2 linked regions of the Arabidopsis thaliana genome follow. The protein of the gene in region 2 interacts with the protein of the main gene of each other region in a pairwise test. Each region holds a gene or a part of one and is shown on either strand. Other genes may lie near its edges. The genes, in order: PLP3a and TUB3.

Region 1 (4,188 bases), on a different chromosome or scaffold from region 2:
GGTCCAACAATGGGTGCAAGCTCAGTGAAGTGAAAAATCTCACAAACCTTCGGAAACTTGGTCTTTCTCTGACTCGTGGCGATCAGATAGAAGAGGAGGAGCTTGATTCTTTGATAAACCTAAGCAAGCTGATGTCCATTTCGATCAACTGCTATGATAGCTACGGCGATGATCTCATAACCAAAATAGACGCCCTTACTCCTCCACACCAGCTCCATGAGCTTTCTCTACAATTCTATCCTGGAAAGTCGAGTCCATCGTGGTTGAGTCCTCACAAGCTTCCGATGTTGAGGTACATGTCAATATGTTCAGGTAATTTGGTGAAAATGCAGGAACCATTCTGGGGAAACGAGAATACTCACTGGAGAATTGAAGGTTTAATGTTAAGTTCATTGTCGGACCTAGACATGGACTGGGAAGTGCTGCAACAGTCAATGCCGTACCTGAGGACCGTGACCGCAAACTGGTGTCCAGAGCTAGAGTCTTTCGCGATTGAAGATGTTGGCTTTAGAGGCGGAGTGTGGATGAAAACACCATTGCACAGAACCTGATGAAACGTTTTAAGCAACTAGATCAATGTTTATTAAACAGTGACAATAAGTTGGTGTATTACATATACCTTGATACAATGTAATGTTGCTTTGACCGTTTGGATTTCATATCGCAATTTTCTTTTCTAATAATCATATAACAAACGAGCAAAAAGGGAAAACAGAGACTAGCAGCAATGGCAGATCTTTGATGTCAACTGCTTGATCAGTCAGAATCAGAGTCCAGATTCTCTGAAGACCTAACAGACCTCCGTATGCTCTCTTGATATTCGGCGTCTTCATCATCTTCCTCTTTCTTCTTCTTGCTGAGCATTCCTGTTAAAGATTTGCACTCTTTAAGCAAAAATTCTCTAACTGGGCCGTTATAATAAAAAAAAGGTGGGACCGAGGTTCTTCATACCCTTTTTAAGAAGAACGTTCTCTAGTTTATTCGTTGTGAAATCGTCCTTGGTTCCCAGATCCTGGAACCCAACTAGCCTATCCATCGCAACTCCCTTGCTAAGAATGGTAAAGAAACTCGTACTTTATGAGTATACACCTAACAACAAACCCTGTATGTAAGAAGGAATAGAAAGAGGCGAAACCTGAAAAGCACAACGCAAGGCAAAGTCTTTATTGCAAGCTTCGTGACAAAGAAAGGAGCATTCTGCATTTATTTCAGCCAAGCATTAGCTTCAGCAAAGGATTGTTGAAAAGCCATTTCCTCTTATAAAACTTTCATCAAATGGTTCACTAACCTCTGCGTCCACTTTAATGAACTTTGTGTCCACATGTCTAGGTGCAAGAGTTTTCAGATGCTTGTCCATAATCCTACAGTAATGCAGTAAATATGTTTGGTTATGAGCTCATATACATATCAGAAGACGAACAAAAAATAAGCTGATGAGAGATCTTACTTGCACCGGTAAAATTCCTTATGGTAGAAATGACATATCACTTTCTCACTCCTGGTGACTTCACCCAAGAAATCTCCTTCACTCACCTCTCGATATTCACCATGCCCTTGTCTTTTAAACGATTCTCTCTTCTCAACCTCTCTCTGTCAAGATAAAATCTTGAAGATTTTAGTTCATACCAAAAGCTGCATAACTATATAGGCCACAATACAATGCCAAAGTTATAACCTTTAGTGCTGCAATCCTATCTGCGTGCAATCTTTCTAGCTCTGGATCCTACAGAACATAGACAAATAAGTCTACCATAGAGACCTACGCTTAACAGTCACAACAAGCAACATTGCACTTACATCCATAAGTTCATCAAGATCAACCTCTTCATTAACAGGATTTGATCCTTGCGCCTTCTCATTTGCAAGAACTTCCTACAAAACCCATATAAAGAACTCATCAAAACCATACAAGTAAGTCCTCACAGGTAATCTACTCAGACAAAGAAACATCAAAAAAACTCATAAAGTCTATCACTATTTCAAAAACAAATTGAGAAACATTCTTTACCTTTTGATAATTTCTTGCAGCAGCCGCCATTACATTTCCAAATGCTAGATTCGAGAGAGTCGATTTGACTGCATCTGGATCCATCTTTTAACACCAAAAATCTGAAACAACAGCATGAAAAAAGCATTAGGATTCAGAGATAAATGAGAGCTAAAGCTTCAAAATCATACCTTTTTCAATTCCTTCCTGATGCGAAGAAGAAAAATAAAAAAACACAGCTTGAGAAATCGAAATCAAAGCTTTTTTCCTTTCTTTACTAACAATTTCAAAAAATCAAAAGATGAACAACAAAGGTGGAAGAAACATACCAAACGACATCGTTTTTTAGTTTAGTAAAAGATATGCATTATTGGGCCTTTCATATCTAAAGGCCCACAGGCCCATATAAGTTAAAATTACGTCGGTCGCTAACCACTACTACACCGACGTCTTACTTGCCATGTGTGTGTGACTCTTAATCAATTACGAATTGAATATATTACTTTTACGATGTCGGCCAACACGTATTGAGTAAAATATCTATGTGATGATGAATTCCTATCCAAAATGAAATTTGCATCTCTATAAAAGTATCATTCAAGAGATCATTAATCTTCATCGATCAAAGTCTTGAATATTTCATCTATATATACCTAAGAAAGAAAAGAGTTAAAGAAGTATATTTTCGATTCAAAGAAGAAAAATGAATTCTCACCAGAATCAAACCGGAGTGCAAAAGAAGGGAATAACGGAGAAAATCATGGAGAAGCTACCAGGTCATCATGGACCTACTAACACTGGTGTTGTTCACCACGAGAAGAAAGGGATGACGGAGAAAGTTATGGAGCAGCTGCCAGGTCATCATGGTGCTACTGGTACCGGTGGTGTTCACCACGAGAAGAAAGGAATGACGGAAAAAGTTATGGAGCAGCTGCCAGGTCATCATGGATCACACCAAACTGGAACCAACACAACTTATGGTACTACTAACACTGGTGGTGTTCACCACGAGAAAAAAAGTGTGACCGAAAAAGTTATGGAGAAACTACCAGGTCATCATGGGTCACATCAAACTGGGACTAACACGGCTTATGGTACTAACACTAATGTCGTTCACCATGAGAAAAAAGGTATAGCAGAAAAGATTAAAGAGCAACTGCCAGGTCATCATGGAACTCACAAAACTGGAACCACCACAAGTTATGGTAATACTGGCGTTGTTCACCATGAAAATAAAAGTACGATGGATAAGATTAAAGAGAAGCTTCCCGGTGGTCATCACTAGATTGATTAACAACTTGTTTAAGCTTATTTTAAGTATTTGTGTGGTGTAATAATATGATGATGTGGCTTTCTTTCATTGAGTCGCTAAATAATATATGTAAGTGATGGATCTTTGAATTAATATAAAATATCTACTTCTGGTTTCGTTTATTTATCTTTCTATCGCTTCAACTATTCCATGTTATTAAAATACTTGTGAGTTGTGACACATACAACCACGTATAATTCACATGTAATTATTTGGTAATTCAATTCTTTACAAGTTTATATGTTCTTTTGCATACAAGTTATCAGGGAAACGACCGCAGTTGTTTGGCAATGTATATTACTCAGGTTTTCAATTCAGGCCCATACGGCCCAAATAAGTTGTTTTTACGGATATCGAGTTAAAAGAGGTGTGTCGATTATAACGGACATGTGTCACACTAACCACAAAACCAACGTCTTACGTAATCGCCACGTGTGTCACTTCAACGCAATTTGATAATAATCATAATACTATATGTGATTATGATCCCTATCCAAAGTTGCGGTTCTATAAAAATACCATTCAAGAGCGTATACATCTTTATCCATCAGTGTCTTAATTTTGTCTATAGCTAAAAAAAGGTTCAATTGTAAAAGGAATATGGAGTCTTACCAAAACCAGTCCGGAGCGCAGCAGACTCACCAACAGCTTGACCAATTTGGAAATCCATTTCCAGCCACCACCGGAGCCTATGGAACTGCCGGTGGAGCTCCAGCCGTGGCTGAAGGTGGTGGTTTAAGTGGCATGCTTCACCGTTCTGGGAGTAGCTCTAGCTCTAGCTCGGTATGCTTCTGTTTTACGCAATTGCTTTTGCAATATTTAGTGTACTCTTTCTATATCACCAAATACAAGAAGTTTCATTTAATTTGACTTCACCTAACTAGAAAAA
Region 2 (5,202 bases):
AAGGGTAGCTACAGAAATTACAGAGAAAACCCAATTCGAGATACCCATTTCACTGATTCCACCGATTCCAAAAGAGAAAGTTCTTAAGGTTCCAAAGACGAAAATATGAGATTTTTTCAACCCAAATAGAGTGACCTAATTCGAGAATGGAGAGAGGTTAGTAGTGATTGGGTATGACCGTATGAGTAAGAGGAGGAAGACTCATGATGAAAAATCTTTACTTTTGTTTTTCCTAAAAAGAATTCTTTAATTTATCATTTTTTTGGTTTTATTATTTTGTTTTTCCCTCTTCTTTTCGAGCTAAGTGAAAGGAGTGGTTTTTCAAAATCTGTACCCTTGGAGACTGGTGCAGAGGAGAGAGAGAGAGCGACCCGTTGCGAGGAGACATAATTCAAATATATCTGTGCCTATAAAAACACTCGCGACTATGGTTCTAAAATCTACTCGCTGTTATTTAAGTCACAAAATACACGTGTCTTTCACAGAAAGCGAGTAATTTAGAGATTGTACTTGAGACGCGAGTGAAAGTTACGAAACTGTGTCGTTTTTGTATTTACTTTGTCTGAGAGATCTGTAAAATAATGTGTAATCTGACAAAATTTACAAGAGTATTAACACTAATGTCGTCCCTATTTATTTCCAAAAGTAAAATACTTCGTAGCAACAATATTTATTACATCAAAAGTAAATTTCTTATCTGTTTTATCTCGAAGAGTGTAATTTAGTCACCACGAAAATGGGCCGAGCTCTTAAAAATAAATGAAGAAATCCAAAGCCCAAAGGTTAGTCAATCATAAGCCCAAAGGTTAGTCAATCATAAGCCCAAAGTCTTTAACGAGATTAGGAACAATACAGTCAATAATAGCTTAAACGAAGATTCAAACTAAAGACCGAACCAAATTTAAAAACAAAGTACATAAACATCATCCAGATAAGTCAAATACAAGCATAGAAATAAACCTGCAACTGGTAGTTGAGGTTCTCATTTTTTTTTTTAAGAAAAAAAGTAGCAAACGACTAAATTGATTTTTTCAAGCGGTTTTTATAACTAAATTACTCTCAGTACTCTTCTTCCTGTTGGTATTCACCTTCTTCCTCATCCTCGTAGTCACCTTCTTCATCAGCCGTTGCATCTTGGTATTGCTGGTACTCTGACACAAGATCGTTCATGTTGCTCTCTGCTTCTGTGAACTCCATCTCGTCCATTCCCTCACCTGTGTACCAATGCAAGAAAGCCTTCCTCCTGAACATAGCTGTGAACTGCTCACTCACTCGCCTGAACATCTCTTGGATCGATGTTGAGTTTCCAATGAAAGTGGAAGCCATCTTCAGACCAGTAGGTGGGATATCACAGACTGTTGATTTCACGTTGTTGGGGATCCACTCCACAAAGTAGGACGAGTTCTTGTTCTGAACATTCAGCATCTGCTCGTCAACTTCCTTTGTGCTCATCTTGCCACGGAACATGGCAGAGGCTGTGAGGTAGCGTCCGTGCCTTGGGTCTGCAGCACACATCATGTTCTTGGAGTCCCACATTTGCTGGGTGAGCTCAGGGACTGTGAGGGAGCGGTACTGCTGTGAACCTCTTGAGGTGAGAGGAGCAAAACCAACCATGAAGAAGTGAAGACGAGGGAATGGGATGAGATTCACAGCAAGCTTACGGAGGTCAGAGTTGAGTTGACCAGGGAACCTCAGACAGCAAGTCACACCAGACATAGTGGCAGATATCAAATGGTTCAAATCACCAACTGCACACAGAGAATGAACCAAGTATGTAAGCCATATAGACACATACAACAAACAACATGATGAGCATAGCAACATATCTTGCAGAAACAAGTATATTATAAAGAAGACAGTATACTTTCACAAATCGATAGTCATCAATGAATTCATATCCCATATGTAACAGCAAGCAACATATAAGATTAAACTAGAAAGTACTTGCAGCTTCACCGGAAAGTTTTGTTCCAATAAGATTAAAGAGCAGCTTAAGGATTTATAGTGATGAGCTCAACATTGATAAACCAATAGCACACAAGACAAGAGGATATAGACATGAACAAACCACTAGAAACAGTGACAAAACAGTAAGTTATATATAGAGAAAACTTGCAGATCTGAATTTGATACCAATTATTAACATAATCACCATCTAGACATAGCATTTTAAGCATAGAGCGACTAATCTAACATTTGTAAAAGAGCACAATTGGGTAACGAAATCTTACAGCTGGGGGTAGTGAGTTTGAGAGTCCTGAAGCAAATATCGTACAAGGCCTCGTTATCAAGAACCATGCACTCATCAGCATTCTCAACAAGCTGATGAACAGATAAAGTAGCGTTGTAAGGCTCCACCACAGTATCAGAAACCTTTGGTGAAGGGAACACCGAGAAGGTAAGCATCATGCGATCTGGGTACTCTTCACGGATCTTAGAGATCAACAATGTTCCCATACCAGATCCAGTTCCTCCTCCCAATGAGTGACAAACCTGGAACCCTACAGAAGCAAATCTCGCAGTTTAAAACTCCAGTAAAGCTCAATCAACCCTAATACAAACAGATCTAGAAGAAGAAGGAGAAGAATAACCTTGGAGGCAGTCACAGTTCTCAGCTTCCTTACGAACAACATCGAGAACGGAATCGATTAGTTCAGCTCCTTCAGTGTAGTGTCCCTTGGCCCAGTTGTTACCCGCACCGGATTGACCAAAGACGAAGTTATCAGGTCGAAAGGTCTGACCGTACGGTCCAGATCTGAGACTATCCATAGTCCCAGGCTCCAAATCCATGAGCACTGCACGAGGAACGAATCTACCGCAACTCGCTTCATTGTAGTAAACGTTGATGCGCTCAAGTTGCAGATCTGAGTCTCCGGTGTACCTTCCGGTTGGATCGATGCCGTGCTCGGCGCAAACCACTTCCCAGAACTTGGCTCCGATCTGGTTACCGCATTGACCACCCTGGATGTGAAGAATCTCACGCATCTTTGGTTGATTGAGTGAACGGAGAAGAGATTTACGGTTTTCTCTCGAGCCTCGGGAATCGAAATCTGGAGAGAAAAGAGAGCTTTAGGTTTTTTTTGTTGAAGAAATGAAAAAAGTGAGAGTGAGTGAGTTTTTATTATTGCTCTCTCTGTGTTTGTTTTTTGTTTTTTTCCCCCAATTATCTCTAATAAGAGGCGCCGATTTTGTTTTTCTCGAAATTCAAAATTTAAAAATGGTCCGTTTCTTTCTCTATGGTAACTGTTTAGTTTCCAAATTTTATTTTATTTTCCAATATTAAATTGAGTTTTAAAATATTATTTTGATATTATAATACAAATTGCAAAAAAAAGAATGTTCATTTTGTTTTTGTTTTTAGAGTTTCTTTTCTAATATTGTGCACATGTTTGTGGCAGGCTTTGGGCCCATTCATAAGGGTTGCAAAAAATGAAATAATGGAAGAGCACATGTTATTTTCATATTTTGCTTGTTAACAAAGGGAAGAGAACGTGTTTGAATATTGACAATTTCCACTTTATCCTAAAGTATTTATGTGAATTGGTAAAGAAAATAAATAGCTTAGAAACAATCAATCCTCAAAGCTAGGCATGTTGGGGAATTTGTATTTCAGAACAGTGATAAATTTGTTTTGGGGTCTAATATGGAGCTGCACTTGCCCTGAGGTCACAAATCCCGAACCTTAATCTATTTTCCAAACAGATCAAACCTAAAGTCCTTAAGTAGGTACTGAGGTAGTCAGGTAGCAGAAAGATGAGGATAGAAGACCAAAGATTGAAGACAGTACAACTGGAAAATATTAATAGAAACATCACAGGCAATAACAAGATTAAGAACAAAAGTACAGAAACATCAACCAGATATGTCAAATACAAGCAGAGAAAAAAACTACAACTGGTAGTTGAGGTGTTCCTTTTAAAAAAAAGAAAAGTAGCAAACGACTAAATTGTTTTTGTTTTTAAAGCAGTTATAACTAAATTATTCTCAGTACTCTTCCTCCTGTTGATATTCACCTTCTTCCTCATCCTCGTAGTCACCTTCTTCATCCGCAGTTGCATCTTGGTATTGCTGGTACTCTGACACAAGATCGTTCATGTTGCTCTCCGCTTCTGTGAATTCCATCTCGTCCATTCCCTCACCTGTGTACCAATGCAAGAAAGCCTTTCTCCTGAACATAGCTGTGAACTGCTCACTCACTCGCCTGAACATCTCTTGGATTGATGTTGAGTTTCCAATGAAAGTTGATGCCATCTTCAGACCAGTAGGTGGGATGTCACAGACTGTCGATTTCACGTTGTTGGGGATCCACTCCACAAAGTAGGACGAGTTCTTGTTCTGCACATTCAGCATCTGCTCGTCAACTTCCTTTGTGCTCATCTTGCCACGGAACATGGCAGAGGCTGTGAGGTAGCGTCCGTGCCTTGGGTCTGCAGCACACATCATGTTCTTGGAGTCCCACATTTGCTGGGTGAGCTCAGGGACTGTGAGGGAACGGTACTGCTGAGAACCTCTTGAGGTGAGAGGAGCAAAACCCACCATGAAGAAGTGAAGACGGGGGAATGGGATGAGATTCACAGCAAGCTTTCGGAGGTCAGAGTTGAGTTGACCAGGGAACCTCAGACAGCAAGTCACACCAGACATAGTAGCAGAAATCAAGTGGTTCAAATCACCAACTGCACACAGAAGAAAATCCAAGTATGTGTAAGCTTTAGACATATCCAAACAGTACGATGAGAAAAGAATCAAAGCAGACAGTAAACTCAACAAACTGATGATCATCAAGTATCAGATTTCTACTTGCAACTTAACCAGAAAGTATTGTTCCAATAAGAGTAGTTTAAGGACCTACTTCGGTGATGAGATCAAAATAGGTAAACAGAAGCAATATCACACAAAACAAGAGGCTAAAGATATGTACAAAACGACTGGAAACAGTAACAAAAGTATAAGTTCTGCACAGAGACTTGCAAATCAGAATTCTGATATAAAACAGTGACATAGTCAAAGAGCAAACCAATGGAAACAGTAACAATACTATAAGCTTTACATAGATGCTTGCAGATCTGAACTTGATACCAATTATTAACATAAACACCATGTAGACCAAGCATTTCAAGCATAGTTTAACTCATCTTAACATTGGTGGAGAGCATAATTGGGAAATGAAATCTTACAGCTGGGGGTAGTGAGTTTGAGAGTCCT

Evidence for each region.
Region 1: the proteins of TUB3 (region 2) and PLP3a interact in a two-hybrid assay, tested with the Arabidopsis thaliana proteins (one study listed by BioGRID).

Annotation. Positions count from the first base shown.
Region 1 is NC_003074.8:18,938,135-18,942,322, forward strand, and holds PLP3a (thioredoxin domain PLP3A-like protein), read right to left. Parts: upstream 2,295-4,188; 5' UTR 2,179-2,294; exon of another isoform or gene 2,110-2,178; 5' UTR 2,093-2,109; coding exon 2,009-2,092; intron 1,873-2,008; coding exon 1,798-1,872; intron 1,724-1,797; coding exon 1,676-1,723; intron 1,591-1,675; coding exon 1,448-1,590; intron 1,362-1,447; coding exon 1,289-1,361; intron 1,198-1,288; coding exon 1,136-1,197; intron 1,050-1,135; coding exon 952-1,049; intron 867-951; coding exon 757-866; 3' UTR 563-756; downstream 1-562. Other genes in the region: ZAR1 (HOPZ-ACTIVATED RESISTANCE 1), read left to right, coding at 1-551; LTI30 (dehydrin family protein), read left to right, coding at 2,691-3,272; XERO1 (dehydrin xero 1), read left to right, coding at 3,900-4,082. UniProt on the Arabidopsis thaliana protein: Tubulin-binding protein involved in microtubule formation.
Region 2 is NC_003076.8:25,182,284-25,187,485, reverse strand, and holds TUB3 (tubulin beta chain 3), read right to left. Parts: upstream 3,229-5,202; 5' UTR 2,986-3,228; coding exon 2,592-2,985; intron 2,502-2,591; coding exon 2,232-2,501; intron 1,749-2,231; coding exon 1,060-1,748; 3' UTR 709-1,059; downstream 1-708. Other genes in the region: AT5G62710 (Leucine-rich repeat protein kinase family protein), read right to left, coding at 1-48; TUB2 (tubulin beta chain 2), read right to left, coding at 3,985-4,673, 5,175-5,202. UniProt on the Arabidopsis thaliana protein: Tubulin is the major constituent of microtubules, a cylinder consisting of laterally associated linear protofilaments composed of alpha- and beta-tubulin heterodimers.